Linked DNA regions of Stegostoma tigrinum. The protein of the gene in region 1 purifies or fractionates together with the protein of each later gene. This does not show direct contact. Links are inferred from orthologs where the notes say so. Each region holds a gene or a part of one and is shown in the gene's direction. Other genes may lie near its edges.

Region 1 (7,069 bases):
ACCGGAAGGCATGAGGCCTCTTGCTAAGAAATATTGGAAAGTTGGCAGGTGTATTTGGATTCCTGCATGGACACTAACAATTTGATTCCAGAATAAGATTTGGGCAAGTGGGGGGACTAGGTCATTGTTGCTGCTGAAACAATTCCCATTCATCCCTACTCCAAATTTTACACCATGAAATCTGGATCTTTCAACTCGTCTTTAACTGCTGGATAGGAATCCAGACAGGAAATAAATGTTGGCTAGCCAGCAACACCCACATCCTATGAGATCTAGGAGGACTGCAGTGAGTGACTGCATAAAGTTAACTGTCTCTTAACTCAGTTTCTCCCTTTGCAGGTTGGGTTAGTATCACTCCTGGAGACTTTGAATGCCACAAATCAGACATTCAACATTTTGGTCAACAGGTGAAGAAGATGGATTGAGCTGTACAGAGGACACCTGTAGGGGCAGCTGAAACCAAGTGATTTCCAGCAAGGGCTGCATGTCACATCACTGAAGAAATGGGAAAATCCTAGGTCAACTGAAGGTTGAGTTTTATTTGTTTGGCTCTAGGAAGCAATCTACCCATTTTAGCCACACTAAGTAGTCTTTTATATTTAAATTGCTCCGCATTTACTAATCAACAAGAATGCATTAGATATAACACAGTGTGGAGCTAGAGAAGCACAACAGGCCAGGCAGCATCAGAGGAGGAGTGCTGCCTGTCCTGCTGTGCTCCTCCAGCTCCACACTGTGTTTTCTCTGACTCCAGCATCAGCATTTCTTACTACTTCTAAGAATGCATTGGTTTCCTTGTATTCAATGTAAATAAGAGAAAAAGTACATTAAACTGCGCATTTCATGACACTTAATGTCCCCGGAATATACCTAGTTGGTAAGATATATTCAACATTCATATGGGGAGAAAAATCTCAATATAGCAGAGAAGAATGGATAGCTGGTAGTGTGTTGCCTGAACAATAACCTACCCCTTGCATTGTAAAATCCATCTCATTTGAGCAGGTAAAATTTGGCAATGCGAGGATGCTGCTTATAAATACTGAAGATGAGTACTGTGGTTTGGGGAAAAGAAGATTAGAAATGTTTGCAAAACAATTCAACCCAATTTTTACATGGCTTGAACATGTTCAGAGACTGATACCACAATTGGGACTACAGAGGTAATTCAGCTATAGTTCCTCCTATTCCTTTTGTATGAATCATAGAATCCTTACAGCGTGGAAGCAGGCTATTCAGCCCATCGAGTCCACACCGACTCTCCAAAGAGCATCCCACTCAGACACTTACATTGCTCATGATTTTACTTGGTGGTTTTCATGTGGAAATATTTTAATAGGCAATACTATTTTGAGGTGCCAACTCCCAGTGAGGTAGCTCATAAATTAGGTAAGAATGAGGTATGTTCTAATAACCAGTGGATAATTAGTACACACCATAAATTGCAATGGGATTTCATATGTATTGCAGCCACTAATGGATTATGCCAGTGACTGATCACAATATTGTGTACAAATATAGCAACAATGGCAATTTCACCATTTATTTTATGCTGGAATAGAGGAATATGGGTAGGTTAAATGGCCAAATATCATAATCAATCCAATTACTGTACACATTACAGAGCACACTGGGATGTTCAGGGTAGCCATTAGCTGATAAATGCTAACTAACTGCAACTATTTTGCTTGAAACATGACTTTTGTTTTGATAGGGCTAGCTATTAGCATACACCACAATGCCTTGAATGATTGTGTGGCTTATTTGGAGTATCTGAACTACTAATATGAATATATTGCTGTTCTTATTATGCTGTTTGTCAGTCTGGATAGTCAAATTCCATTTGAGATATTTGTTCCTAATGCAATGTCATCAAAATTTTCCATAAGTTAATGATTATTTATTTGCATGAATTCAGCAGCCTGAAATGATGAAGTGACTCACAGTAAAATGTCTGGATCACAATGATAGTTTTACATCAAAATTAATTACCAAAATACAACATGACAAATAAGCATAGTAATTCCACTCATTTGAACTGGTACTGCGGATATAGGATGTGCAAACCTGCTCCCTGCTTTGTTTATCCTCTGCATATAATTGCATGCCTAACTTACCACTGAAGTTGTTTGATCAGGCATATGTGCAAAAACCTCATTAAAATATTGAAATAGCACAGAGATGATGCTATTCGGTAGCAGCTCTCAATTTCTTACACTTATGGAAAGATCCCATACAGGTCTGTGCCCTTTTAAATTAATTTGAGAACCAGCCATATTATTATTATTGTCTTGTCAAGAAGGAGTTCCTTAAGATATTTTTCTGAAGAGCAGTAATTTATTGGTGAGAAATGGGAATTGATATTGTGGTCTTATCAGAGAATTTTACAAGTACAAAGAAAATCAAAAGCCATGTCAGAAGGCAAGAGCAGCATAACCAGTTAGTCTGTGCGTACTATTTTGCCACCAACAAACCTTGCAAACTCAAACACACCAACCTGAAAGTGGTGAGGGGGAATTCCTGTTCCAGGTTGCTGTGCAACAGGGAAACTCCTATGACATTACACAAAAGGAGGTATATTGGGCTTTGCAGATGGTTATGAAAATCAGTTCTGCCTCAATTGTTTTGCCATCATCTCATCCCTAAATGTCATTTGCTGCATCAGGCAGCTTGCCATTCTGCAAGAGTGCTAACCCAGTAACTGCTTCTTAGGAGCACAACAGCTGACGTTTCAGGATAACAAAGTGTGAAGCTGGATGAACACAGCAGGCCAAGCAACATCTCAGGAGCACAAAAGCTGATGTTTCAGGTCTAGCCCTTCATCAGCGAGCTCTCTGATGAAGGGTCTAGGCCCGAAACGTCAGCTTTTGTGCTCCTGAGATGCTGCTTGGCCTGCTGTGTTCATCCAGCTTCACACTTTATTATCTCGGATTCTCCAGCATCTGCAGTTCCCATTATCAGCTGACGTTTCAGGCCTAGACCATTCATCTAGGCCCGAAACGTCAGCTTTTGTGCTCCTAAGATGCTGCTTGGCCTGCTGTGTTCATCCAGCTCCACACTTTGTGATCTCGGATTCTCCAGCATCTGCAGTCCCTATTATCTCTAACCCAGTAACTGCAACCAGTTGCATGGTCAGCACTTCCATCTATTATCACACAGAGTAACAATTGTAGAATGGTACATCTGCTAAATCCCACCCAACTACATGGTTTCACCATGTGCAGGTGATCTCTTTAGAAGATTCTTATACTCGCTCAATGTTAACTCCCTGAAAATGGCTTTCTGTTTTCTCCAGGTCATCTGAAGTATATTGAATGTTCGTAAACTGCTAGATTAATACATTATGCAGCACAGTTCTGGACCTAGGCATTGCTAACAGAGGTTCTATCATGTCTGCAATAGTAATGGAGAACATGTGCTATGATGTTCTTTCCAAGAGGTATCAAGCTGAATGTAGCCTCATTAAGGTCAGGCTATATACCACAGACCTGATGATCAGATTGTATTCTGGGAATCTGATTTAGGAGTCAGGTTAGAATCATAGAAGCCCGACAGCACACATGGAGGCCATTCGGCCCACTGAATCTGCACCCTCCCTCCAGCAGCTTCCCACCCAAACCTACCCACCCGTGTAACCTCAAATTTACCTTGGACAATCCACCTAAACTGCACATGATGAACATGCTACAGTCAACCATGGCTGGAATGAAACCGACACTGACAGGCACTGAGACGGCAGTGCTAACCACCGAGCCATCATGTAAGCCATTGAATCTAATTGTGAAACATTAGGCTGGATACATCATATCTAATCGTATACAGGAAGATATTGTGAGGTAATCCTGTACATGGTGGTTCTGATCCGATGAAATCTGGCGGCAGACCTCTGATCTGGTGATACAGTTTGGTTCACCCGACATACGGATGCTCAGCACAATAAGAGTCGGTGTGTGATCTGTGAGAAGTGTGTGTGTGATCTGGGGAGGACGTGGTGCAGAGCCGTACACCTTGTTATAAGTCAAACTCGTGGGGGCGGAGTTGAAACCGCCCAGAGTTTATCAGCGGCTGCGTCAGGAGTTAGAAACAGGTTACTCACCCTGAAACTGTCCGTCTGACATTCCCACTTTGCTTTCACAAAGGACCTTTCGATTTTGTTTTGTCATCCGCGCTAGCGAGCGGATAGGGGGCCTGGGTCACCTGTGCAGCAAGGGCCGGCTCCGAGCTGCTCGCCAGGACTGGAGCGCTGAGAATTCATCAAAATCAGAGCGAGTGGTCACCTCGGACCAGAGCAGAGCGGGCAGGCTGCAGCATTTAACGCTTTTTGAAAGAGCAGGATTTATTGAGTGAAATGTGTTGAAGAGGAGGGGAATGTGACGCCTGCAGTGGAATGATTTCGTGAAGCACTTGCCTGGGCTCTGAGAAGGACAGTTGCAAGTTGATCCTGAATTTACTTTGGTGCACAGTCAGGTATGTCCGGCTTTTATTCAATATCCATTTTGCGCCTTCTTGCTTAGTATCGATCAATTTGTAATTTATAACTGAATACTTGCCAGCGTGTGTTTGTTTGATTTTTAGATACACGGATACAAGTGAGATTCCCTTCTTTTGTTCTTTTCTTACTCTCTAAATTTTAAATGTCCTGCAGATATTATCTTATTTTGCATCAACTGTTCCAACTGAAGAATCGGTTGCGGTGGAATGAGATCATGTGCACACCATGATCCAGAATGATTCATCTTCCTGTGTGTATTATGTGGGGAATAAGGAAAGTGTTAAAAAAAAACTTTTATACCGTGGAGATTTGAGGCAGGTCAAAAGGATCCCCAGATTAACTTTATTTCCCTATTTATACAGGATAATCCCCCAGAAGAAAAATCATTGTACTTGATGTGTTTGGGATTAATGGTTTTAATTAATCTTTAAATACTATGTTAGTTCCGAGAAGTATTAGCAGCCGTGCGTGGGGGCGTGGTGGGGGGGTAACTGACATTCCCAGCGCATCTCACACGGAGCACTCAAACAATTATCAGGATCACAGTAATGCGGAGCACTCGGGGATTAATTTATCGGTTTCACTGCGCGCAAAAGCATTTAAGCAGTAAAGCATACCTTTATGTGTAGGGCTGATCTGATCGAATTACAGCATTAGCCTCGAAACCTTGGCTCTTGACAACTGTGCTGGCATTTCTGAACTGAGGTGAGCGAAGTGAGTCACTGAACCAACGAAATGGGCATTCCAGGTCAAGTAAAGCAAACCTCTCTTGAACAAAAACAAAGTTGCTGGAAAAGGCTCAGCAAGTCTGGCAGCATCTGTGGAGGAGAACACAGAGTGAGCGTTTCGGGTCCGGTGACCCTCAGAACGGAAGCAAACCTCTCTACTTGTGTGAATTTTGCAGTGGTTTAGATGAACATTCTTTTAGGCAGTGGTTTTAAACCACTGATTAACCAAAAACAAATCAGTATTCAATGGGAAGGTAACAACAGATTCTCTGTAATCTGTCTGACTCAATGGTGTGATGCATTTAAGAGTAGTGTGGTCCTTTTGCTCACTGGCAGCACAGATCTGGTTGTTCATTATTGTTAGCAAGACTACTTAGTAGTGATAACCATATGCATGACGAGATTCAGCAAAGACCTGGAGATTAGCCAGCCAAACACACCAGAATGTGCTGATTTGATGCCTTGACTTTTCTGAAGTAGTTGTTCTCACCCAGATGGTATTTAGCCATCGATACAAGCTAACAAAATGTGAGGCTGGATGAACACAGCAGGCCAAGCAGCATCTCAGGAGCACAAAAGCTGACGTTTCGGGCCTAGACCCTTCATCAGAGAGGGGGATGGGGAGAGGGAACTGGAATAAATAGGGAGAGAGGGGGAGGCGGACCAAAGATGGAGAGTAAAGAAGATAGGTGGAGAGAGTATAGGTGGGGAGGTAGGGAGGGGATAGGTCAGTCCAGGGAAGACGGACAGGTCAAGGAGGTGGGATGAGGTTAGTAGGTAGATGGGGGTGCAGCTTGGGCTGGGAGGAAGGGATGGGTGAGAGGAAGAACCGGTTAGGGAGACAGAGACAGGTTGGACTGGTTTTGGGATGCAGTGGGTGGGGGCGAAGAGCTGGGCTGGTTATGTGGTGCAGTGGGGGGAGGGGACGAACTAGGCTGGTTTAGGGATGCAGTAGGGGAAGGGGAGATTTTGAAACTGGTGAAGTCCACATTGATACCATTAGGCTGCAGGGTTCCCAGGCGGAATATGAGTTGCTGTTCCTGCAGCCTTCGGGTGGCATCATTGTGGCAGTGCAGGAGGCCCATGATGGACATGTCATCCAGCCCAGTTTGTCCCCTCCCCCCACTGCACCACACAACCAGCCCAGCTCTTCCCCCCCCCACCCACTGCATCCCAAAACCAGTCCAACCTGTCTCTGCCTCCCTAACCGGTTCTTCCTCTCACCCATCCCTTCCTCCCAGCCCAAGCCGCACCCCCATCTACCTACTAACCTCATCCCACCTCCTTGACCTGTCTGTCTTCCCTGGACTGACCTATCCCCTCCCTACCTCCCCACCTATACTCTCTCCACCTATCTTCTTTACTCTCCATCTTCGGTCCGCCTCCCCCTCTCTCCCTATTTATTCAAGTTCCCTCTCCCCATCCCCCTCTCTGATGAAGGGTCTAGGCCCGAAACGTCAGCTTTTGTGCTCCTGAGATGCTGCTTGGCCTGCTGTGTTCATCCAGCCTCACATTTTGTTATCTTGGAATTCTCCAGCATCTGCAGTTCCCATTATCATCAATACAAGCTGTTGGCTTGATGGGCGTCAGATGACAACAGGTTATAGTCCAGCAGATTTATTTGAAATCACAAGCTTTCGAGCATTGTAAGGGGCAGCGCTCTGAAAGCTTGCAATTTCAAATAAACCTGTTGGATTATAATCTGGTGTATCTGACTTCTGACCTTGTCCACTCCAATGCAACACCAGCACCTCCATATCATGGCTTGATAGTAACATTTCTGCCAGAGATAGAGGCTACAAGATTCAGTTGTTGCTACTAACAGGTTCAACAAATAGAGAATAGACCT
Region 2 (7,774 bases), on another chromosome or scaffold:
TAAATGCAAGATACTCCCTTTTTTTAACAAAAAATTTCAAACTGCAATTAACAGAGAGCCGGGCATTAACAGTTCTGCAGAAGGGTCACCAGACCCGAAACATTAACTCTGTTTTCTCCTCCACAGATGCTGCCAGACCTGCTGAGCTTTTCCCGCAACTTCGTTTTTGTTCCTGATTTACAACATCAGCAGTTCTTTTGGTTTTTATTAAGAGTTAGGGATTTCCCCCTGGAGAGGGGTTATGTGATACCTATCAATATACTTGAGGCCTTTCCTGACTAATGGGCAATTCGGGTCCTCCTCCCACAATCAGTTTTGAATTTCGAGTTTAATTTGTGGAGTTGATTTTGTTCCTGTGTTCCTTTAAGAGACTGTTCCATAATAATTTTGTCTTACCTGGTTTCAGTTCTTATTTGGTTATTCAAAAGAATACAACAACATGACCGGGCTGAGAGTATAAGGTAATGGATTTGGAATCCATTGGGGTGATCCAGTGCAGGTTTGATTTCTGCTGACTATGCTTCTCATTGTTCTAACTTTAAACAAGTGCCTACAAACTTATAATCGCAGAAATGTTAAAGAAAGTCCTTCTAAGTAAGGGACTGTTCATTAGTTAATTAATCGTTTTTACTTTTCTCAAGAGAGTATAATGGAAAAATGATCTGTAGCTCAACAAGTAACACTCTTGCCATACATCGTAAGGTTCCAGCTTTTGAGGTTTGAGCATTGAAGTGAAAGCTGACAATCCAGTGTGAGACTGAGGGTGTGCCAAATGGTCAATGTCCTGTCCCGGCCCCATCTGCCTGTCCTGGTCAATGAAGAAGATCTCATAAAAATATAGGAAATAGGAGCAAGAATAGGCCAGTTGGACCCTTGAGCCTTAACTTCAACCAGCTCATGTCTGATCATCTACTCCAACGTAAATTTCCTGCACTATCTCCATATCCCTTGATAATTTAATATCTAAAATTTATCCAACTTTGTCTTGTCATTACTCAATATCTAAGCCTCAACACCTTTTAGAGAGCAGAATTCCAAAGATTCACAACCCTGAGTGAAGAAATTTGTCTTCTTCTCATTGTGAGATTGTGACCCAATTCTATATACGTCCTCCACTCCAGCTGGGCGAACATGCTTCCTGCATCTATCCTGACATGTCCTGTAGGTGTATGGTGCGTTTCAATGCGATCAACTCACAAACTTCAAAACTTTAGAGTGTACAGACCCAGTTTCCTCAATTTCTCCTCACAGGACAATTTTACCATCCCAGGAATCAGTCTGGTTAACCTTTGTTGTATTCTCTCTTCTGCTCCCATGTCTTATTGTCTAAGAAACACAGATGCAGTCTCCTCAATCTCTTCTGATAAAACAATCCCAGGAATTAATCTGGTGAATCTCCATTGCATTCCTTCTGCACCCCTCTTTTAATAAGGACACCTAAACTATCCATCCACACCCTGATGTATTGCAGCATTCCCCTAATAATTGTCAGAAACACATTCAATCTTACGTAATCACAATTTACAATCCACTACACCTCGATAGTAAGAACCCCATGTGATCTGATATACCAGAAGTTCATGTCTGATAAACCAGATGCCTCTTTAATATTCTTTGGTTGATGTGGGGTAAAGAAAGTGACCATATAGGATTCTGTTTCTCCCTCAGTTAACCCATTGTAGAACAAGAATTGTCATCAAGGAACTGATTCGTCTCACAAGAAGCTTTATTTATGGATAGCTTACAGAAGTTGCATTTCTCTAAATTAGACAAACATAATAAGCACACAGGTTACACAGAACAAAAAAGCCAAATTGACGATGCAAGTCATTCACTTTGACTGGAACAGACTCAAAGAGGTTGGGTGAAGTCTTTGCTGCCTGAATGTTTATGTTTGGGTCCTTGTGCTGTATAATAGTAACATTTTTCTACATTGGGTAGTGAGTGTTACTCCCAGCTCAAGTATACAAAAGCCAGAGGCTGAGAAATATAGAAAAAAATAGGATTGGAGATAGATTTTTATTTAGTAATGGGTTTTGGAGAGAGGGCTGGAAAGTGGATTTGAGACTGAGATGAGATCAACCATGACTGTATTAAATGGAGCAGGCTCAAGAGACTGCATTGCCTACTCTTGGTCTGGTTCTTTGCTTAATGAACCATTCAGCCCTTCAAACCTGCTCTGCTAATCCATTCCATACATGGACCATCTTTAGCCTTTTCTAAAAGGGGGAATTGACACTAATAGGTCCATATGATCAGAACTAAGATTGCCCAAACTAATTTTACACAGCACCTTTGAGGCCAGCGGCAAGGGAAGACTTCATCTGAGAAATCTAGACTAAATTTGATTCTGTGGCTCTGGAAAGGAAAGCACAGGGTTGAACCATGTCTTCATCCATGAGGTTTGATATAGTTATAGAATCCCTACAGTGTGGAAACAGGCCCTTTGGCTAAACAAGTCCACACCGAACCTCAGAGCATGCCACCTCAACCCATCCCCCTATAACCCACCTAATCTACACCTCCCTGGAGACTATGGGCAACTTAGCATGGCCAGTCCACCTACCCTGCACATCTTTGGACTGTGGGAGTAAACCAGAGCACCTGGAGGAAACCCACACAGACATGGGGAGAAGGTGCAAACTACACACAGACAGTTGCCCAAGGCTGGAATCAAACCCAGGCCCTTGGCGCTGTGAGGCAGCAGTGCTAACCGCTGTGCTACTGTGCTGATCATTTCGTGGAGGCTGTCACTAGATCTGATCTTTTACAATTAGACACCTGACAGAAATGCATGTTTCCAACATTTACTACATTTTCAAATTTCCAGCACTCATGGGTTACTCTTTTTTTTGTGTGTGGGGGCTGGTGTGGTGTTGCGGACATTTGGGCCAAATAGCCTATATGTGCTCTTACGTTTTTATGTTCTTATGAAAAGAAAAATCAGCTAGTGTCTTCCCACTGGTGGCCACACCTTCAGCTGTTAGGGCTTAACCTCGAGAATTTGCTCCTTAAAACATCTCTTGTTGCCTTCCTTAAAAACAATCCCTTGGACTAACTTGTCTTAGTGTTTCATTGTTATTCATTGAAGGGATGTGAACAGCACCAGCATGCCAGGTATTTGTTGTGAATCCCTAACTGCCCTCAAAATACACATGCAGTCGATGTGGTGTCAGAACAGGCTTCCTGTAATAGATTGATGAAACAGAGACTAAACAGGCCTTTGCAGAAGGCACTTAAATGTCCTTGAGGCTCTTGATGTTACAGGTAGGTCTGGCCAGCTAATGTCAACAGATATCCCCCCTTGAAAGACATCAAAAGTGAACCGGAGGGAGTTTTTTTTTGCAAAAATCTACTTCATTCATGGTTACCACAATTTTGAAATTTACTTCAATTCTGAATTTATTTCATTAAATCTAAATTTCATCAGTGCAGTGAGATTTGAACTCACTTCTGGAACTCAGGCCCCTGGATCACTCCTGTGAATCTCTTTTTGATGTTTCAATGATATTCGAGGTCTGCATTTGAACAGGTATTAAGGAGATAATAGCGCAGAGAGGAATACTACAAAATTATTAATTAATAGTTCAATATTAAGCCAGTCCCTACTGACAATCAACAAAGGGCCCACAGACTAAATTCTGGTATTGTTGTTTATACATGGTTCAGCATAAACTAAGTTTTAATGAGGTTTAAGCTTTCCCGTCAGTGTTTCAATTCTTTCTTCACCAGTAAAGGAGAACAGGAATTTGTATAGCACCATTTATCTTCAGCACATCCGAATGCACCTTATAGTCAATGATGTACTTTTGTTTTGCTTAAGGGATATGGGCAGTAAATGGCAAAGCCATCATTTATTGCCCATCCCTAATGGGCTTCGATCTAAGCTTGCTAAGCTATTTGAGTCAACCACATTGCTGTGTGTCCAGAGTTACATATGGGCCAGACCAAGGATGATGTCAGATCTCCTCCCCCAGAGGACATCAGTGAACCAATTGATTTTTATAACAGAAAAACCAAAAGAATTGCAGATGCTGGAAAAGCTCAGCAGGTCTGGCAGCATCTGTGAAGGAAAAATCAAAGCTAAAATTTTGGGTCTGGCAACCCTTCCTCAGAACCTATGGTAGCTGGCAAAATGTTAGTCGAGAATCAGAAAATAGGAAGGCTGGTGGGGTAGGGAGTGAACAGTAGGATAAAGGATAGTGTCCAGAGATGGAGAGAAGAGCAATTGGATAGTCAATGGAGTTGATAACAAGACAACAAGGTGTAGAGCTGGATGAACAGAGCAGGCCAAGCAGCATCAGAGGAGCAGGACGGCTGACATTTTGGGCCCAAAACATCAGCCTTCCTGCTCCTCTGATGCTGCTTGGCCTGCTCTGTTCATCCAGCTCTACACCTTGTTATCTCAGATTCTCCAGCATCTGCAGTTTCTACTATCTCGGAGTTGATGATGATCTGGCTCAGAGGGTGAATAGCTGTTAATGGGGACTGTTAGTGACATACAGTCACTCTCCCATGTCCTCGCCCCCTACCCTACACACCAGGCCTTGTTGTTACAGCCTGCCATTACACACTATTTAACAGTCACTAAAACCAAAAACGTCAACTTTCCTGCTCCTTTGATGCTGCCTGGCCTGCTGTGTTCCTCCAGTTCCACACTGTGTTATCTCTTGTAAATGTATTACTGTTATAAATCATTTACAAGTGGGCTTAAAACTGATACGCAACTTGATCAATGATTAACATGCTTTACCTCATATATATATATATATATATATATATATATATACACACACATATGCGCACAGTTCTGCTCTCATTTCTCTCTTCACAAGACTGTGACCACTTCCCTTGCATACTCAAACTTCCTCTTTATACACACGAAGATGTCGGTGAGTAGAGTATATGGACTATAAAGTTGTTTATCCTTTTGTATTTGTGTTTAACCAGGTAAAGGGACCAAGGCCCTTTTCAGTAAGGTACTGCCAAATTCTGAAAAAGTTTAAAGGGACTGTACTCAAGTAAAGGTCATGTCTCACTTGAAATGCCATAAATTCTAATAACTCGCTGATTTCATTACTTGGAAGTGCTGTTTCATTTATAATTTGACTCTCCTGGGATGCAGAACTAATGTCAGCTACATTAATTCATACAAGCAAGACCATAATTTTTTGCAGGAGTACAAACGTAATGTAAGGAGGATAAAATTAGGTGACAATATGGGAAGTCTGAGTGCCAATAAGATTGAGGCATTTAAATGGATTCAAGCTACTTGAAGAGTTGCATCTAATTCTTGGCACTGCTCTTTCGGAAGAGGTGAAAGTTTTGCAAAGGACACACTGTCTCTGGAAAAGATTTATTTGGATTGAGGGATTACAATGACACGGACAAAATGAAGAAGCTGGCTTGGTTTCTTGGAACAGAGAAGGAAAAGAGGAAAATGTATTCAAGTGCTTAAAATCACATTGAACAAAATTGACTGTTACTGGAGAAGCAGAAAAGGTTTGAAGGATATGGGGAAAGAGAGGAAAAGTAGAACTCATCTGTACGCTGCTTGAAATTGCTAGCACAGGCTTGATGGGATAAGTGACCTCCTCTGTGTTGTACTATTTTATGATTCGACAAGTTTGGTATGGAAAATTTATTTCTTCCATCTGGGTCATTCAATAGTGAGGTGACTAATCTTAAAATTTGAATTTTTCCTCCTCTGAGTTAAATTGGGCACTTTTCCACATCAAGGTGTGTGGAATCTTTCAAAAAGACTGTGATTGTTGAGGGGGATAATTGAAGTTTCAAGCCTGAGAATAGCCATGCCCTTGTTGGTCAAGGAAATCAAGAGTCATGGAACTGCAAGATCAGATGAGGTGCAGATCAGCTGTAATTCAGAATACAGGATGCTTAAAAGTCAGAGATATCAATATAAAGCGATTTCATTCTTGCTGTTAAGATTTTGTTACTTGTCTTTCCGGGAAGAAACAACTTGTTCTACACTTTCCCCAGAGCCATGTCGTTTCGGTGTCTTAATTACTTTGCACCTCGGGCAGAGGACTAATTTTCTCTCTCCCTTTTAATTCTTAATTTATACCCATTTTAAATCTTTCTTTTTTCCATTATTAACACCCTTTTGTTGTTTGCACTGGGTCCTGATTCCATCTGCCTTCTTGTTCCCCCTCTGAATCTGTCAAAAGTATAAAAACATTTTTTTCAACACCTTTCAGTTCTGAAGAGTCATACTGGACTCAAAACTTTAACTGTTTCTCTCCCCCCACAGATGCTGCCAGACTTGCTGAGTTTCTCCAGAATTTTTGAAGTTTGTTTCAGATTTCCAGCATCCCCAGTATTTTGCCTTTATTCAAGTGTTTATTGGATCAACTCTCATGGGTTGCGGTATTGACTGTTCTTAGTTCCACTGTCTAATCTCCATCATTAGTAGCCATGCCTTCAGCTGCTGGGCCCTAAGTTCTTGAATTATCTCCTTAAACATCTCTGCCTCTTTATCGCAATTTCTTCCTTTAAGACATTCCTCAAAACCTACCTTTGACCCCCAAGCTTGAATGATCTCCTTATGCAGCTCAATGCCAAAAGTTTGTTTCAGAATGTTCCTGCGATGTGCTGTACATTCCCTCTCATGTTAACAACATAGTATAATGAAAAGTCATTGTTTTTATTCCCACTGCTCTCACCCAACACTTTTGAGGATAATTGTTGGCCGTTTTCTATCAATTGATTCTACACTGGGGTCGTAAAATAGCCTGCAGTGCATCGAGCAGTGCACATACCATAAGACCATAAGACATAGGAATGGAAGTAAGGCCATTTGGCCCATCAGGTCCACTCCGCCATTTAAATCATGGCTGATAGGCATTTCAACTCCACTTCCCTGCACTCTCTCTGTAGCCCTTGATTCCTTCTGAGATCAAGAATTTGTCGATCTCTGCCTTGAAGGCATCCAATGTCCCGGCCTCCACTGCACTCTGCGGCAATGAATTCCACAAGCCCACCACTCTCTGACTGAAGAAGTGTTGTCTCATTTCAGTTCTAAATTTATCCCCTCTAATTTTAAGGCTGTGCCCACGGGCCTAGTCTCCCCGCCTAACAGAAACAACTTCCTAGCGTCCATCCCTTCTAAGCCATACATTATCTTGTAAGTTTCTATTAGATCTCCCCTCAACCTTCTAAACTCTAATGAGTACAATCCCAGGATCCTTAGCCGTTCACCATACATTAAACCTACCACTCCAGGGATCATCCGTGTGAATCTCCGCTGGACACACTCCAGGGCCAGTATGTCCTTCCTGAGGTGTGGGGCCCAAAATTGGACACAGTATTCTAAATGGGGCCTAACTAGAGCTTTATAAAGTCTCAGAAGCACATCGCTGCTTTTATATTCCAACCCTCTTGATATAAGTGACAACATTACATTCGCTTTCTTAATCACGGACGCTACCTGCAAGTTAACCTTGAGAGAATCCTGGACCAACACTCCTAGATCCCTTTTTACTTCTGCTTTGCGAATTTTCTCACCATTTAGAAAATAGTCCATGCCTGTATTCTTTCTTCCAAAGTGCAAAACCTCACATTTACTCACATTGAATATCATCAGCCATTTCCTGGACCACTCTCCTAAACTGTCTAAATCTTTCTGCAGCTTCCCCACCTCCTCAGTTCCACCTATCTTCGTATCATCGGCAAACTTCACCAGAATGCCCCCAGTCTCTTCATCCAAATCATTAATATACAAGGTGAACAGCTGTGGCCCCAACGCTGAACACTG
Region 3 (7,701 bases), on another chromosome or scaffold:
GAATTTTTTTTATTCATTCAGGGGTTGAGGGCATTGCAGGCATCTGTTGTGCATCCCTTACTGCCCAGAGGCCAGTTGAGAACTAACCACGTTGCTGTGGGTCTCGAGTCACATGTAGGCCAGATCGGGGAAGGATTCCTTCCCTGAAGGACATTTTGTGCACCAGGTGGCTTTTTCCTTACAATCAGCAATGGTGTTGTGGTCATTAGATTCTCAATCCCAGATTTTTTTTTCTTTTGAAATTAGATTCAAATTCCACCATCTGCTTTGGCACGATTTGAACCTCTGTCCTTAGAACATTACAAGGTGTCTGGATTAACTGTCCAGTGATAAATCACTAGGCCATTGCCTCTGCTTTTCTAGGCTGCAGCTGGTTTGGGAAAGTAGTCATTCTGACACAAGGACTGAGGGAGGGCTGTTTCTAGCTTTTGATGCTCTGTTGCTGACATGTTTGCTTAGGATGGGTCCTTTGAGATTCTCAGATGTGTATAATAAAGATGCTGTTTAATCTGTACTGCTGCTTTCTCTCTTGGATTGTACTGATCACCTTGGTAACCACTTGAGTGGTTGCTGCTGTCTCTGTTTGCCTGGCTACTGGGTTACTGAAACCTTTTAATTGGACTGAAAATGGTTTGAACTTGAGGATGGGGGCGAAAAAAACAGGAGTGTGGCTTTCATGTATCATCAAGGAGCCTATTCATCAATGAAATATCTTCCAGAGAAAAATAGTGTTTGCCAACAAATGGCTAACCGTGTGGTTTCCTTGAATTACCACAATGCAGGTGCTGCGCAAATATACGATGTTAGATGACACCTGCATGCTGCCACTAGTCAAGTCTGTGTTATCCCTTTGTTTGAAGGGCTCAAACTAACAACCTCAAGGCAAATGGTTCTGGAGAAAAGTTAGCTTCTGTTACTGAGACAGCTCTTTTTATAGTTGCTGATGGGTGGAGTAAGATATGAACAAAGGAGGTTTATTAGGTTACGTTAGATTCATGCAAGTCGGGACAAATAAATGGATCAAACACTGAAATGTGATTTTTTTTTTGTTATTAGCATATTTACATTGTAGTAAAGCTTCAATAAGTAAGTGGTTAAGCAGAATTCCCTGGGGCTAGTCTGCCACCAATATTGCTTCTTCCAACTCATTCATCCAACAAGCTGCTAACCATATGAAACTTGCACCTTTTTGTTTGGAGTCGTCACCATATCTTCAGGTTGGCTTGGAGATTAGCTCAGGAAGGGACTGAAATGTGAAATGTTGTAGCATACAGGCAGGGGCGGGTATTCCGCAACAGGTACGCACTGCGCCTTTAGTGTGACAAAACATTCCAAGGCATTTCACAGAAACAGTCAAACAAAACGACGCAGAACCACAGAGTGAGGGGCTGGGATATCTGAAATCCACAGCTAGGTCTAGGACAAGTTTTAACAATCATCTTTTAAAAGGATAGAGAAGCGGAGAGGCAGGGAAACGGAGACGGAGGGGGATATGTGAATCGGGAGCAAATGGAATCAGGCATGTGATTTCTGAAGAAGGGTCTCGGCCCGAAACATCAGCTTTCCCGCTCCTCTGCTGCTTGGCCTGCTATGTTCATCCAGCTTCACACCGTGTTATCTCAGCCATTTGGTCCCTTGAGCCTGCTCTGTAAATCGATAAGATCCTGGTTTGTTGGATTGAAGATGCTTTCTTACCAACCTGTTCAAAGATATTAATCTCGATTGTGACTTCTACTTTCCAGCATGCTGCTCATAGTCTTTGGCTCCTTTGTCAGTCAAGACTTTAAAATCCACCTTTTTAAAAAAAAATCCAATGATCCCGTCCTCCCGTCTCGGCAAGACAATTCTGTAGACTATCGGCCTCTTGAGGGAAATAAATTCACCACATCACTACCTTTAAATGGGACACCACATTTTTAAAATGACCTCAAGCTCGAGTCTCTCCCACAAGGAAAGCATCCTTTCAACACCCATCCTGTCAAGTCTCGTAGTATTTTTTATCAAAATAAGATCACCTTTCAAACCTCGATGGATACAGTCCAAACTGTCCTGTCAAGATGTACCTCAGACTTCCAGTCTTTTCCGCACTTCCTTAAAAACCATGCACAGTATCGCAGATATCCTCTAACCAATTTTTAAAAAACACTTTTGCAAAAATATATATTGTTACTAGAGTGGTAAAAGGTACATTCCAGAACATTTCAAACTAGTCATTACGGAAAATGCAATAAAATACAACGTATCTCAATTGAGCACACTGCATTCTTAGACACTTTAATCAATTGCAGACTAACTGTGACGTGTACTGTACCCATTCAGTGACAAGCTTCCAGTCCAATGAGCTCTAAGTTATCAAGCTCTTGTTACACTGTAGCTGTGACCAATGCTCTGTGCAGCTGTGACAAACCTTCCCTACTGTTATATTCTATTTGCCTTGCAAGAAACAACATTACATTTGTTTTTCTAATCATTTGTACTTGCATCCTAACATTTTGTAATTCATGTATCGGAACACTGATTACTCTGTCCCTCAGAGCTCTTCTGTGTCTGCATTCAAATAATATGCTGCTTTTAGATATTTATTGCTGCAGTGGACAAGTTCACATCTTCTCACGTTACATTGCAGTTTCCAAACTTTGCCCCTTACTTAACGATATCCCTGTTTGCAAACTCCTTGTGCCCTCTGCATGACTTTTCTTGCATCCATCTCTGTGTCTCCCGCAATTTTGTAATTTCACATTTGGTCCCTTTATCCAAGTTTTTCACATTGATTGTAAGCAATTGAGTCTCCATCACTAATCCCTGTGGAGAAATGGATATAGTGTTTGCTTGAACCTCAATGAGTGCTTCCATCGATCTTGTCATTCAAAGTGCCCTGCCTTCCACGAGATGTCTGAACTTTGGGGAGGGTTGCAGTCGCTCAGAGATAGCAGTCGTTCCATTTTTTTTTTGCTCCTCAAGTCGGATTTTCAGGTCACTAGTTAGTAAGCACATTGAGATTCCCATCGAGTGTCGACGTGAGATAGATCTGAAAGGAAGGTCCAGTGGGGAGAGATGACTGCTGCAACACTTGGAATCCTCACTGAGTCTTCGAGTTCCAAGCTCAGCCTGCATAGCTCATGTGAACTTCTACTTCGAAGGAACCAGCTCCAGATTCTGTGTTACAAGACAGACCCTGACTGAATTCTCTCATACCTGTCTCTGTGTCACCATCTCTGTAATCTTCTCCGGCCCTGCAAAGCTCTAAGAAGCTTTCACTCCTGCCGTTATAGAGTCAGTCATGCAGCACGAAAACAGACCCTTTGGTCCAACCAGTCCATGCTGACCAAGTTTCCCAAACTAAACTATTCCCTTTTATTTGCATTTGGCCCATATCTCTCCCAATCTATTCATGTACCTGTCTTTTAGATGTTGTAACTGTACCTGCATCTACCACTTCCTCCAGCAGTTCATTCCACATAAAACCACCTTCGATGTCAAAAAGTTGCCCCTCAGGTCCTTTCTAAATCCTCTCACCTTAAAAATATGCCTGCTCGTTTTGAACTCTCCTGCCTTAGGGGAAAGACGCTTGCTATTCAGCTCACCTATGCCCCTCATGATGTTATAAACCCCTATATGAGATCACCCCAAAAAATGTCCCGGCTATCCAACCTCCCCTTACAACTCAAACCCTCCATTCCCAATAATATCCTTCTAAATATTTTCTCCAATTTAGTAGGATCCTTCCTATATCCATCTCCTGCTGAATATATGCTATTGGCTGAACTCTGCTGTAAACTCTGGAAATCCCCTGTCCTCCCTCCCCACCTCTTTCCTCCCTTGTAATGTTCATTAAAAGCTGACCTTACTGCAGGATATTGCACATCTGACCCAATATCTTTCTGTGTGGCTCACTATCAGGTTTTGTTTGATAACGTTGCTTTAGGACAAGACTGTATGTTGAAGGTAGTCCTGACAGACAAGCTGTTGAGATTTCTGTGACCTGCCTACTTAGGTGGATGCTTTGAGCTATTCTACCACGGGGCATGTGCATTTGCAAGGCAAGGCAAAGTTTGAGGATTCTCTGGCATCTGCAGTTCCTATTATCTCTAGAATAAACGCTTACTGACTTGGTTTTTTTTGCTGAAACCCCTTCTGTTGGCTGCAAAGTACACAACAAGTTGCAGTAAGTGCACATTTGGGTTGTAAGTGGCTTGTGTCTGGAGAACGCGTGCCCCGAGCAGCTACTGTAACAGGAGCATAGCTTTTTGTGAACTGCCCTAATGGCATCTGGAGAATGTGCGTTCCACCTGAATGTATTAGTGCAGATAGTGGTTTTGTGAATCTGAAGGGCCGTCAGTTTCTTATTGATTCTCACAAAAAAACACACTTGCATCTTTTTAAAGCAGCAAGATAAATGCATGTTTAAAAAAATCCACAAGGGTTTCCTTGGGGGATCAATTGCATAATATGAGAGAGGCAATTTTGAACTTGTCTATTCTTTTATTGCAGGTTCTGTTTTGGCTTGCATGCCTCTTGCCTTATTCTTATGACTTCAGACTCATGCTTTGAAGGTGACCCAGTTTACAGGTCTTTCAGCTCTTTTTTTCTCTGCTGAAGATTTTCTTTCTGAGACTTACTTGCTTTTGTGGTTTAGGAAGCTAATTAAGCTCTGCATTCCTTGTTGTGTAGGATCAGGTTGGTCACATTGTGAATGAGTGAGTCATTCACAGCTGTCGGCCTTTGACCTTGCTGATCATCCGTAACTTAGCAACTTGCTGGCTTCCTGACTTAGACACCGTGATGCTGGAGCTGTGGAGATGGAGGTGAGCATATGTGTTCATCAGTGATCAGCAATTCTCTGACTGAGTATATTGTGTGGCATCCTTGTTGCTGCCATATGCCACCTGCATGTTGCTGTGTTTGTACAAAATATCAGGTTCTTCTGTGTAAAATGCCTTGCAAGTTTTTAATTCTGGCACTCTTCTTTTGAAGAGGGTTGGCCCTGCAATACAGTATTGTCACAGAATCTTAGCCATGCAGTTACCTGTGGTGGAAACTAAATAACAATTATAAAACTGCTGTCCTTTGAGCACCATCGAAGCTTACTGCAGGTTCAGCTTTGAGCTAGACAGCTTTTAAAAGTCACCAATGCTTCTGTCCCCATCTTATCTGAATTGTCTCTGGGTGAGAGATTAGCTTCAGAGAAGCAGATCTGTTCTGCCTCGTCCCACTACAGAACAAAGGAATTAAAATGCAAAATGTAGTAGTAGCCTCACGGACCCAGTGTCTAACTGTTAGAGATGTGCTTGTTGACTTTTTTAATATGTTTACTCTTTTGGATATGAATGACGCTAGTAAGATCAGTTTTAATAGCTGATCCTGATATTTAACCTTAGCTGGGTTGTTTTCTAGGCCATTCCAGAAGACAGTGGGTCTTCGATGCGAAATGTTGTCATCAACTGAGTGTTGCAAACTGGCATGTGGAAACGTCCCGGATTACATGTTAAGGGATGTACTGAAGCTAGAAGCAGCTCCACAGAGGTGCACACTAGGGCACAGATGCTGTTTCTGGGCTAACAGCAGTGGTACACTAAGGGACACCTTGGCTGTGTTCCTCAAAAGGAATATAGACGCTGGACATTGTAATGAGGCACCTCGGAGAGGGGTATCGAGAAAAGTTTATTTCTCTTGCACTTTCTGACATTTTCAACATGAAATGTTTTGTCCTTGCTCTGTGTGCTTTACACAAAATGTGTGGTCTAAACATTAAGATATCATCATTGATGAACCCAAGGGTGCAACATTGTGTGCGAAAACAAGTTGAATTTTGAATTCCATAAATTCTAAGTGGAAGATAGTGTGTAAAATGTGCTGTATAAATTTCTTGAATACAGCAATGACGTTGACTTTGGACTGGTGTTAGGTACAATTCAGACAGGAAGATGACAGGCTCCTTTCACGAAAGGGACAGTTTCACGGCCATTATGAACTTTCTAGTTTCAAGATGGCCTCAAAACATTCTCAAGTGGCCCTAATTTAAGCTTTCATTCTCTGAGTTATTCATCCAGACCTTTTGGATTACCAGACCTTTTCATGTAACCACTGTGATGTTCCCTGTTTTTTCTCATACAACACAGAGTAGCTATCACCATTATAGTAGGCATCAAACAGGTTCACTCAGATGACCTTGTCCAACAGCTGTAGCCATTTTTGTTGTTCACACAGCACTGTGGATGTCCTCACATCACATGGACTGCAGTAGTTCAAGGAGGCAGCTCATCGCTCCCTCCCTAATTAGGTATGAATAAGTGCTGACCTCACTACGGCAGTACCCACATCCCACAGAGGAGTCAATTTCTGAAAAGTAAGAAAGTTTGAGTCTGCTTTTGCTCACCTGTGGCCATCTCTTGATTTGACTTTAGGTGCAGAATAACGTAAAGGATCCAATGGCAGTCTAATGTGGAAAAGTTATGTAATCTTGGCCATTTTGTTTTCCTTAGCCAACAGCTAACACAGATTACCTGGCTGTGATCGCTTGGTGTTCGTGAAACCTTTCTGATGCTCTTGACGGTTGTGATATTCCATTGTCGACAGGGCCCTCAACCAGGTCTGACCTATCTCCCGCACTTCCGCCCTCACCTCTTCTCTTCCCTCCGGCAACAGTGACCGGGTTCCCCTTATCCTCACCTACTCTCCCACCAGCATCCACATTCAGAAGATCAACAGACACCGTTTTCCACCACCTCCAGTGAGATGCCATCACCAGACAAAGACATTCCCTTCCCCTCCTTTGTCCTCCTCCTGCAGGGACCGTTCCCTCCAGGACACCCTGATCCACACATCCTTCACCCCCAACGCCTCCTGACAGCCCCACGGCACCTTTCCCTGTAACCGGCGAAGGTGCAGCACCTGCCCACTTACCTCCTCCCTCCCCAGCATCGAAAGGCTGAAACATCATCTAGGGGAAGCAACACCACCTGCACTTGCCAGAATCCAGTCCACTGCATTTGCTGCTCGCAATGTGGTCTCCTGTACGTTGGGGAAACGAAGTGTAGACTTGGTGACCACTTCATAGAACATCTACGTTCTGCTCGCAGAAAAGATCTTGAACTATTTGTTGCCTGTCACTTCAATGTACCATCCTGCTCCTTGGCCAATTTCTTTGTCTCTGGCTTGTTGCAATGTTCCAGTGAAGCCCAACGCAAGCTGGAGGAACAGCACCTCATTTTCCACCTGAGGACCCTACAGCCCTCCGGACTCAATATTGAGTTCGATAATTTTAAGGTCTAAACTCCCCCATGTCCCAGCCCCCAACCCCACACACCAGGCCTTGTTGCCACATAGCCTGCCATTACACACTCCCTATTGTTGGCCACTGACAGTCCCCATTAACAACTATTCACCCTCCCAGCCTGATCGTTAGCAACTCCTTTGACTGTGCGACTGCCTTTCTCTCTCTTTGGGCTCTATCCTATCATTTACTCCCTACCCCACCCATCTCCTTACTTTCTGCATATAAACTGATGCTTTCCCAGCCACCATCAGTTCTGCGGAAGGCTCACCGGACCCGAAACGTTAACTCTGGTTTCTCCTCCACAGATGCTGCCAGACCTGCTGAGCTTTTTGAGCAACTTTTGTTTTTGTTCCTGATTTACAGCATCCACAGTTCTTTCGGTTTTTATTTGCTTGTGACATTCCATTTGGCTGCCACCTTTTCCT
Region 4 (7,880 bases), on another chromosome or scaffold:
TTCCTCAGGGTCTTGCACAGAGTCATAGAAGCATACAGCATGGAAACAGATCCTTTGGTCTATCTTGTCCATGCCAACCAAGTTTCCCACGGTAAATTACTCCCAATTGCATGCTTTTGGCCCATGTGCCTATAAATCTCTTCAATTCATGTACCTATCCAAATGTCTTTTAAATGTTGTTATTGCACCTGCATCACCACTTCCTCTGGTAGTTCATTCCACATACAAACCATCCGCTGTGCAAAAAGGTTGCCCTTCAGGTCTCTTTTAAATCTCTCTCTTCTCACCTTAAAATATGCCCTCTTGATCTGAATTCCCCCACCCTAGAGAAAAGACCTTTCCTATTCACATTATCTCATATGCCTCTCATGATGTTACAAACCTCTATATGGTCACTCCTCACTCTCCTACCGCTAGTGAAAAAATTCCCAGCCTATCCAGCCTCTCCTAATAACTTAAACCCTTCAGTCTTGGCAACATCCTTGCAAATCTTTTCTGAATCCTCTCAAATGTAATAATATCTTTCCTATGGCAAGGCACCCAGAACTGTACATAGTACTGTAACAGTGGCCTCATCAATCTGTACAACCTCAACATGATCTCATATAACTCCTATACTCAATGGTCTGAGCAATGAAGACAAGCTTGCTAAACATCTTCTTAATCACCTTGTCCACCTATGATGCAACTTGCAATGAACTATGTGCTTGAACCCCTAGGTCTCAATCAAGTTACCTTTTACTCTTTTGAACTCTGTAGATACAAGCCTAGCCTGTCCAATCTTTCCTCTTAAGACACTGCACTCTTTCCAGTTATTAGTCGAATAAATCTTCTCTGAACTAATCCTAATGCTCTTGTGTGCCTCCTTAAATAAGGTAATCAATACTGTATACAGTACTCCAGATGTCTTGTATAAATGAAGCATTATCTCTCTACTTTTGTATTCAATTCCATTTGTGATAAATGATAAAACTCTATTAGTTTTCCCAATAACTTGGTTTACCTCTATTATAAGCTTTTATCGTTCATTTTATCATGCAACTCTGGGTACACTTTGATCACTCTGCATCTCATAACTCTGCAATTTCTCACTATTTAGATAACTTTTCTTATTCTTTCCACTAAAATGGACTGTTTCACATTTTTGCACTTTACACTCCATTTGCTGCATCTTTGCCCATACACCTAACTTCTGTCACTTCACAACTTACTTTCCTACCTATCTTTGTGTCATCAGTAAATCGGTCAACCAGACCTCCAATCACTTCAATGATGTAATTTATCTGAACTGTAAAACAGTTGAGATCTCCATAGTGATCCCTAAAGCACACCACTCATTATATCTTGCTCACCTGACAAAGACTCATTTATGTGCCTAATCTCTGCTTCTTGTTAGCCAGGCAATATTCTATTCATGTCAATATGATACCCTCTGCACCCTGAGCTTTTACTTTCTGAGATAATCTTCAATGTGACATCTTAATAAATGCCTTCTGGAAACCTAAGTACAGTATATCCACTGGTTCTCTGTTACTCATATCACGTCTTCAAAGAACTTTAATAGATTGGTCAAACCTGATTTTTCTGTCACAAAGCCATGCTACTTTGCTTGATTACATTTAACTTACTCATGTGACTTGCTCTAATACTTTTTAAAAAATCCAACAATTTCCCCATGACAAACATTAACCTAACTGGTCTGTAGTTTCATTCTTTCCATCTTCCTTTTTCAATAAATGAGCTACATTCGCTATCTTTCAAACTAACACAACCATCCCTCAATAAAGGGATTTTCAGAAAATTAGATCTATCTCACTCATGACATTTTTCAAGACTCAAAATAAAGTTCATTAGATCCCAAGAACTTGTCAATCCACAGGTCCAACCTTTTACTTAGCACCACATGTCTGGTGATTGAGATTTCCCTGAAATCTCCATTTATTCAACTCCTGATTTATCATTGTTTTTGAAGTTTACATATATCCTCTATCGTGAAGATGAAGTAAATTACCTGTTCATCTCCGTTGCGCTTTTCTGGTATTTCTCTTCATTTAATAGTCTGCCTTTTTTCATACAAACGTGCATGACCTCACTTTAAACTCCATCAGCCAATTTTTTGTCAATTCACTCAACCTATCTATATCCCTGGCAGATTCCTGTCTTTACTGTACATGTCTTCCCACCTGTATCATCAGCAATTTTAGATGCATTATATTCTGTCCCCTCTTCCAAATCATAAATATAGATGGTAAATACTTAAGAGATAATGGGAACTGCAGATGCTGGAGAATTCCAAGATAATAAAATGTGAGGCTGGATGAACAGAGCAGGCCAAGCAGCATCTCAGGAGCACAAAAGCTGACGTTTCGGGCCTAGACCCTTCATCAGAGAGGGGGATGGGGAGAGGGAACTGGAATAAATAGGGAGAGAGGGGGAGGCGGACCGAAGATGGAGAGTAAAGAAGATAGGTGGAGAGAGACAATCTTCTTTACTCTCCATCTTCGGTCCGCCTCCCCCTCTCTCCCTATTTATTCCAGTTCCCTCTCCCCATCCCTCTCTCTGATGAAGGGTCTAGGCCCGAAACGTCAGCTTTTGTGCTCCTGAGATGCTGCTTGGCCTGCTCTGTTCATCCAGCCTCACATTTTATTATCTTGGTAAATACTTAAGGCTCTTTTGGCACTCTATTTGTTTTGCATTTCCAACCTGGAAATGACACACTAACTCTTACTGTCTACCTTCTGCACATAAGTGCAAAGGAGCCCTACTGACACATCATGTTTATTCAGCTTAAACCTTTTGAAGATTTTCTCGACTTGATATCCCTCACCTTGATAAACACAATATTGAGTCAGGCTAAAAGCAGGAATCCCAAACATGCACACCATAATCTATATGTCCATTCCAATTATTTATTTGCACAACGATGCAAAAATAATTTGTTTATAATTGATATGGTACTAGTTAACATATTCTTTCTATCTATGTTCATTGCTACAATTAACTATATTAATTTACACAAATTTTAAAATTATATACCAGTAATACAAAACCTTGTAATATTCTCCAAAATATTTAATAATATTAATTTTTGATATAAAAACTTCTTTTTCTCCATTTGAAGATTGAATAATAATGTTATGCCCTGATGTAGGAGTGACCACATTATTGAATTTGGCCGTGACCAGGAGTTGGATTCACATCAGTCCAGGTCGCCATTAACCAAAAGGATGCTTCAGCATTCTTTTAATTCTACCTTACATGTCAATTCAGCTCCTTTGCATTGTCTGACTCAGCAGACCTTCCCCACCAGTTCCACGATTAAGTCATCAGTACATCCCAGCTGAAGAAAACATCTCAAATCACAGTTCGTTGCAACATTATTTTAAGTGGGCGCGTTCGAAAAAATTTAACTGCAAAAATCGATCGCGCAGTAGGGCAATGTTGTTTGGAAGCACGCACTCCTATTTACTCATTTCAGTGCATGAGGTGCGCACTCTGACTAACAAAGACACAATGATTTCGCCTTTGAAAGCCCCAGCAGAACTGTTTTCATCCTGGTAGATCATCCGGTTGTACGTAAATATATATATGAATAAAGTTTAATTTTTTTTCTTGAAGTGCGGCATCAGCTTGGGAAAAGAACTATTGAACTAGACAAACCAGTCCCCCTTGTTTGTTTGGGGTGGGTGTTGCAGGAGGTGGTTATACAATTTTCAATGTGAACAGGGTGGGGGACTCATGTTGGTTGTTTGCTGCACGCATAAGCTAGGAGGGCCTTCCATCACCGTGATTACTCTGCGTTCTTCTAACTTCCACTCCACGCAAACTCGGAGGAAGTTTCACCTTCAAGTGAGCTCCAGGAATCTGGAACTTTTTTTTCTGCCCGCATTCCACAGATTCCTCTGCCAGCCGGCATAATGATTTTACTCATGACAACTCCATAATGGAAATGACTGCCACTGCAACCCTGTACTTCTGCCAAAACATTTTTTGTTAAAAAAGTTAAAAACGTATTTTACAAAAACGCGGAAGAACGATGTTATAAATTTAAGATATCAAACGAGGAGTGCTGAATCTATGCTGAATCTAATCGACAATGACACCATCAGAAGCCAGATTCTGGTCAGATTTACTGAATTATTACACCTGGGTTCCACCAGTGAGTTTTCCCCGGCTGTCGTCGATACCTCCCCGCCCCCAACCACAGGGGCTGTGAAACGGGATGATTCCCAGAATAAGACGCAGGGATTCACACCACTGCTGGGAAATGTAGTTTTCTGACCCTCCTGGTAGCTGGAAGGAGAGGGGAGGGAGTGGGGTCTCTCGGCGTTGACGGGGAAAGCCAGTTTTCATAAATCAGGGTCACCAGTATTTAAGATAACAAAGTATGAAGCTGGATGAACACAGGAGGCCAAGCAGCATCTCAGGAGCACAAAAGCTTTTGTGCTTCTGAGATGCTGCTTGGCCTGCTGTGTTCATCCAGCTTCACACTTTGTTATCTTGGATTCTCCAGCATCTGCAGTTCCCATTATCACTGATACATCCCCAGTTTTTAACCCTGCTCAACACATACCAGTCACCAATGCAGGCACCAAGTCTGCCACATTGCAATCTCCCAACAGTTTGCATTGGAGTTACGCGGCCGTGACCTTCCCTGTGCACTACAGCAGGCGGTTTCCATCCTGTAGGACTACCTTCCCATTCCAGCAGGATGGGGAGAGCATCAAGAGAAATCACTGGGAACAAAGATTGTGCTACGTGCTGGGAGAGAAAAAAAGAGCAGCTGGGAGGGTTTTGAAACTACAAATCCCACAATTCAATTGCAAATTTCTCCGCCCTCACCCCCCCAACACACACACACACACAAACACACACACAGATATAAACTCACACTGGATCACGTCAGCTCACGTCGGGAACGTCACAGAATAGTTGGATCGGTTGCAGTCGGTGAGTTTTAGTTGAAGTCTGCGGACCCCAGGACAGCCGAGCTGTCAATCATTCCCGCGAATCGCGGCGCGAGAGTGGCCGAGCCGGACATCGCTGGACAAGGCGGACGAGTCAGAGTCCACACACAACAACCCAATCTGTCCCACCATCAATCACCCCGAGCACGGCTGCTCCTTTTTTTTCAGTTTGTTTAAACAGTGGAATCGTGATAGAGAGAAAGGAGTACCTGGTCTGTGCTGGGAAAGTTGATTCATATTTCGTTGGGTTGGGTCTGAGAAAGCCGATCCTGGTTTGTCTTCACAGCCCTTCCATCGTGAGCAAGAAAGATGAGTGGCGGCGATATCGTCTACAACGGCTGGCTGAGGAAGTCTCCACCGGAGAAAAAGTTGAGACGTTACGTAAGTTTTTTTTTAAATACATGAGAAAGTGTTTTCGTTTTGCAAATTCAAATACGGCGGCACTGCTGTAAGCGAACCGAGTTGTAAACGTTGTTTACCTATACAAAACTTAATTTATCATTCAAAAAAAGTGGTTGATTCCTCTCGGCACAATATAATGCTCGCACTCAAGAATGCAGTAGTTACAAAGTAACTGCTGGCAATTGCCCCATACACTTTTTAATTTTGTTAATATGCAAATTAGAACTGTTTGGAATTAGTGCGTGACTTTTTTTAGTGAAAAGTCCACTTGAGTTGTGGCCAACATAGATACGGTCTTTCTAATAGTTTATTTCAGATTTTCAACGTTTGTAGATCTGTCTTTCGAAAAGCAATGGAGTCCTTTGTCTACTGTGAATATGTTCTGATGTTTATAATCTTTTCATGGGTTTGCAGTCACACATGGCTGAAAACTAGAGTGATCTGTGTGTTGAGCAGTGAGAGCTTTGAAGGGCCGGTAGCTGAATCGCACACTGTCAGAAAGCAAGTTTCCAATACGGGACACACCCATTAACTTGGCTGCTGCTCTGCGTACACTTGAGGTTGAATGGGTGTTCATGTCTTCTAATGCAGGTGCAATGCCAAGCGACGTGGAAGGATGAACTATGTGTTTAATAATGCGTGGAAATATCTTGTGATGTCCCATGTCTCTCGGCCCAGGTTTTGTTTAGTGCTGCACGTCGTGGAATTGAAGCATGTTGTCTGGCGGCTTGAAGCAAGTTAAAATGTTTTCCATTCGTTCAGGTGGCAATAGCGGGGCTTTTCACCGGACATATTTCTCAGAATTAGGCCACCAAAAGCTAACATGATGAGTGGCTATGGTTTTATTGCTGGGTAGTATGTAATTTATTTACAACATTTAACAGTGCAAACTTTTTCATACTTCAGCCAGTAGATTTAAAAGAACGAGTGGGCTAATTATTTACTGCAGCTTGAGAAAATAATTGTCAATGGAAGGATCTTTGAACTTTTTAAAATTTTGTGGAGCCTACTTTTACTTGGGTAAAAGAATAACTTTGAGGTAGTCTTAAAGACTAGTATCGTGGTGATCTGAAATAGTTGTGACTTAGTACATTTGAAACAATTCATTTTTGTTTGAGATACTTTTAAAGACGTGTTCTGTGGCAATATATGAATTTTTCTCAGGGATTTTACCAATATCCCATCATAAACCTTCCTTCACGTGGTTTAATCAGTTTTATCATCCTGAGTCTGAGCTTTTGTTTTTAGTAAACTTGTAAGATTTTCTTTACTACTTGTAAACTAACTCTGTGAAGGGAATATTCAGTTTGGTAAAAGCAGTAAATGTTTTGCTATGTAATTGAATGGATCCTTGTAACTTTTTTGAAACTGTTAATTTGAAGTATTCAGAAATGAATATTGCTTTCTGTTACTTATTTAGTTCTACAGAAAAGGATATGCAAAGACAATAGGATTTCTGACATAAAATGTGGCAAGTAATGGCATTAGTCAGTGACTCTGTATTGCATATAGAGCAAGCTTCTGTTGTCAGCCTGTCTAAACAAAAATGTAGAGTGAATGTGAGTGTGATATGCGCAGTTTTTACTCTGATCAAGTGTCAGTTCTGTGTTCCCCATTGTAATATCTTACATCTATAATAATTAAGAATAGGACTTTGTCATTTATCTCAATGTTGGTTTGTGACAATGTTTGTTTGCAGCAATGTTTTTGCACCTGGAGGAAGTGCAAGTACAAGTTTATTGCTATGTAGGTTTGAGTTAAATTATTCAATTCCTATTTGTAATCATGCCAGAGAAAGGAGGAAAAAAAATTGAAGTTCTTATCACGCTCCTCAACTAAAGAAGAACTTCAGTGTATGCTATATAAGACATAGGAGTGGAATCGTTCACATTTTCAGACTGCAATAAAGCATTTCACAGCCAATAAATTAGTTTTTGAAGCACAGACACCTATTTTATAGGCAAACATGGTAGCCAACCTGTGCACAACAAAGATTCAAGCATGAATGAAATAAATAATCACATTTGTATTGACTCCAGGATAAATGTTGGCTAGGTTCTCAGGAGTACACACTTGCTGTTTAAATAGTGTTGTAGGATTTTCTGTATTTACCTTGATAGGTGAATGGCACCTTAGTTTAAAGGCTCACCCAAAAGATAATGTGTTGCACTGTCATGTTCTGTTTGTCCCATTCTGATATGTCACTACTGATTGTGTACAGATATGTTTGTAGTGAAACTTGATCCGACTCTGATTTGATGATGAGACATTGATAACACTCCTAAGCTAACCCCTTTATTTAATTCTACAAATTTAATACAAGCAATCTAACCTATTTGCATTCTTTTTCTTCCTCCCTCCAGCATGCTACTGACTTCTCGCAGCAAACAGCCACAGATTGCATTTAATGTAGCGAAAAGCTTAAATGTTTTTATAAGGATATTATCAGACAAAATTTCTTAGTGAACAGCTGGCCCATAGCTTGGTCAGAGGTAGACATTATGGAGCATC

Evidence for each region.
Region 2: the proteins of met (region 1) and galectin-2-like purify together in Homo sapiens (affinity purification with mass spectrometry; 3 studies listed by BioGRID and IntAct, with this or other methods). This does not show direct contact. The link is inferred for Stegostoma tigrinum from reciprocal best matches to the Homo sapiens genes MET and LGALS1.
Region 3: the proteins of met (region 1) and plxnb1b purify together in Homo sapiens (co-immunoprecipitation; 3 studies listed by IntAct). This does not show direct contact. The link is inferred for Stegostoma tigrinum from reciprocal best matches to the Homo sapiens genes MET and PLXNB1.
Region 4: the proteins of met (region 1) and gab1 purify together in Homo sapiens (affinity purification with western blotting; 3 studies listed by BioGRID and IntAct, with this or other methods). This does not show direct contact. The link is inferred for Stegostoma tigrinum from reciprocal best matches to the Homo sapiens genes MET and GAB1.

The regions. Positions count from the first base shown.
Region 1 is NC_081371.1:34,233,386-34,240,454, forward strand, and holds the start of met (hepatocyte growth factor receptor), read left to right. Parts: upstream 1-4,058; 5' UTR 4,059-4,467; intron 4,468-7,069. UniProt on the Homo sapiens protein: Receptor tyrosine kinase that transduces signals from the extracellular matrix into the cytoplasm by binding to hepatocyte growth factor/HGF ligand. Regulates many physiological processes including proliferation, scattering, morphogenesis and survival.
Region 2 is NC_081391.1:12,805,640-12,813,413, reverse strand, and holds the start of galectin-2-like, read left to right. Parts: upstream 1-4,773; 5' UTR 4,774-4,886; coding exon 4,887-4,892; intron 4,893-7,774. UniProt on the Homo sapiens protein: Lectin that binds beta-galactoside and a wide array of complex carbohydrates. Plays a role in regulating apoptosis, cell proliferation and cell differentiation. Inhibits CD45 protein phosphatase activity and therefore the dephosphorylation of Lyn kinase.
Region 3 is NC_081364.1:17,663,346-17,671,046, reverse strand, and holds the start of plxnb1b (plexin-B1), read left to right. Parts: upstream 1-4,694; 5' UTR 4,695-4,782; coding exon 4,783-4,805; intron 4,806-7,701. UniProt on the Homo sapiens protein: Receptor for SEMA4D. Plays a role in GABAergic synapse development. Mediates SEMA4A- and SEMA4D-dependent inhibitory synapse development. Plays a role in RHOA activation and subsequent changes of the actin cytoskeleton.
Region 4 is NC_081354.1:29,131,333-29,139,212, forward strand, and holds the start of gab1 (GRB2-associated-binding protein 1), read left to right. Parts: upstream 1-4,861; 5' UTR 4,862-5,276; coding exon 5,277-5,348; intron 5,349-5,930; exon of another isoform or gene 5,931-5,954; coding exon of another isoform or gene 5,955-5,960; intron 5,961-7,880. UniProt on the Homo sapiens protein: Adapter protein that plays a role in intracellular signaling cascades triggered by activated receptor-type kinases. Plays a role in FGFR1 signaling. Probably involved in signaling by the epidermal growth factor receptor (EGFR) and the insulin receptor (INSR).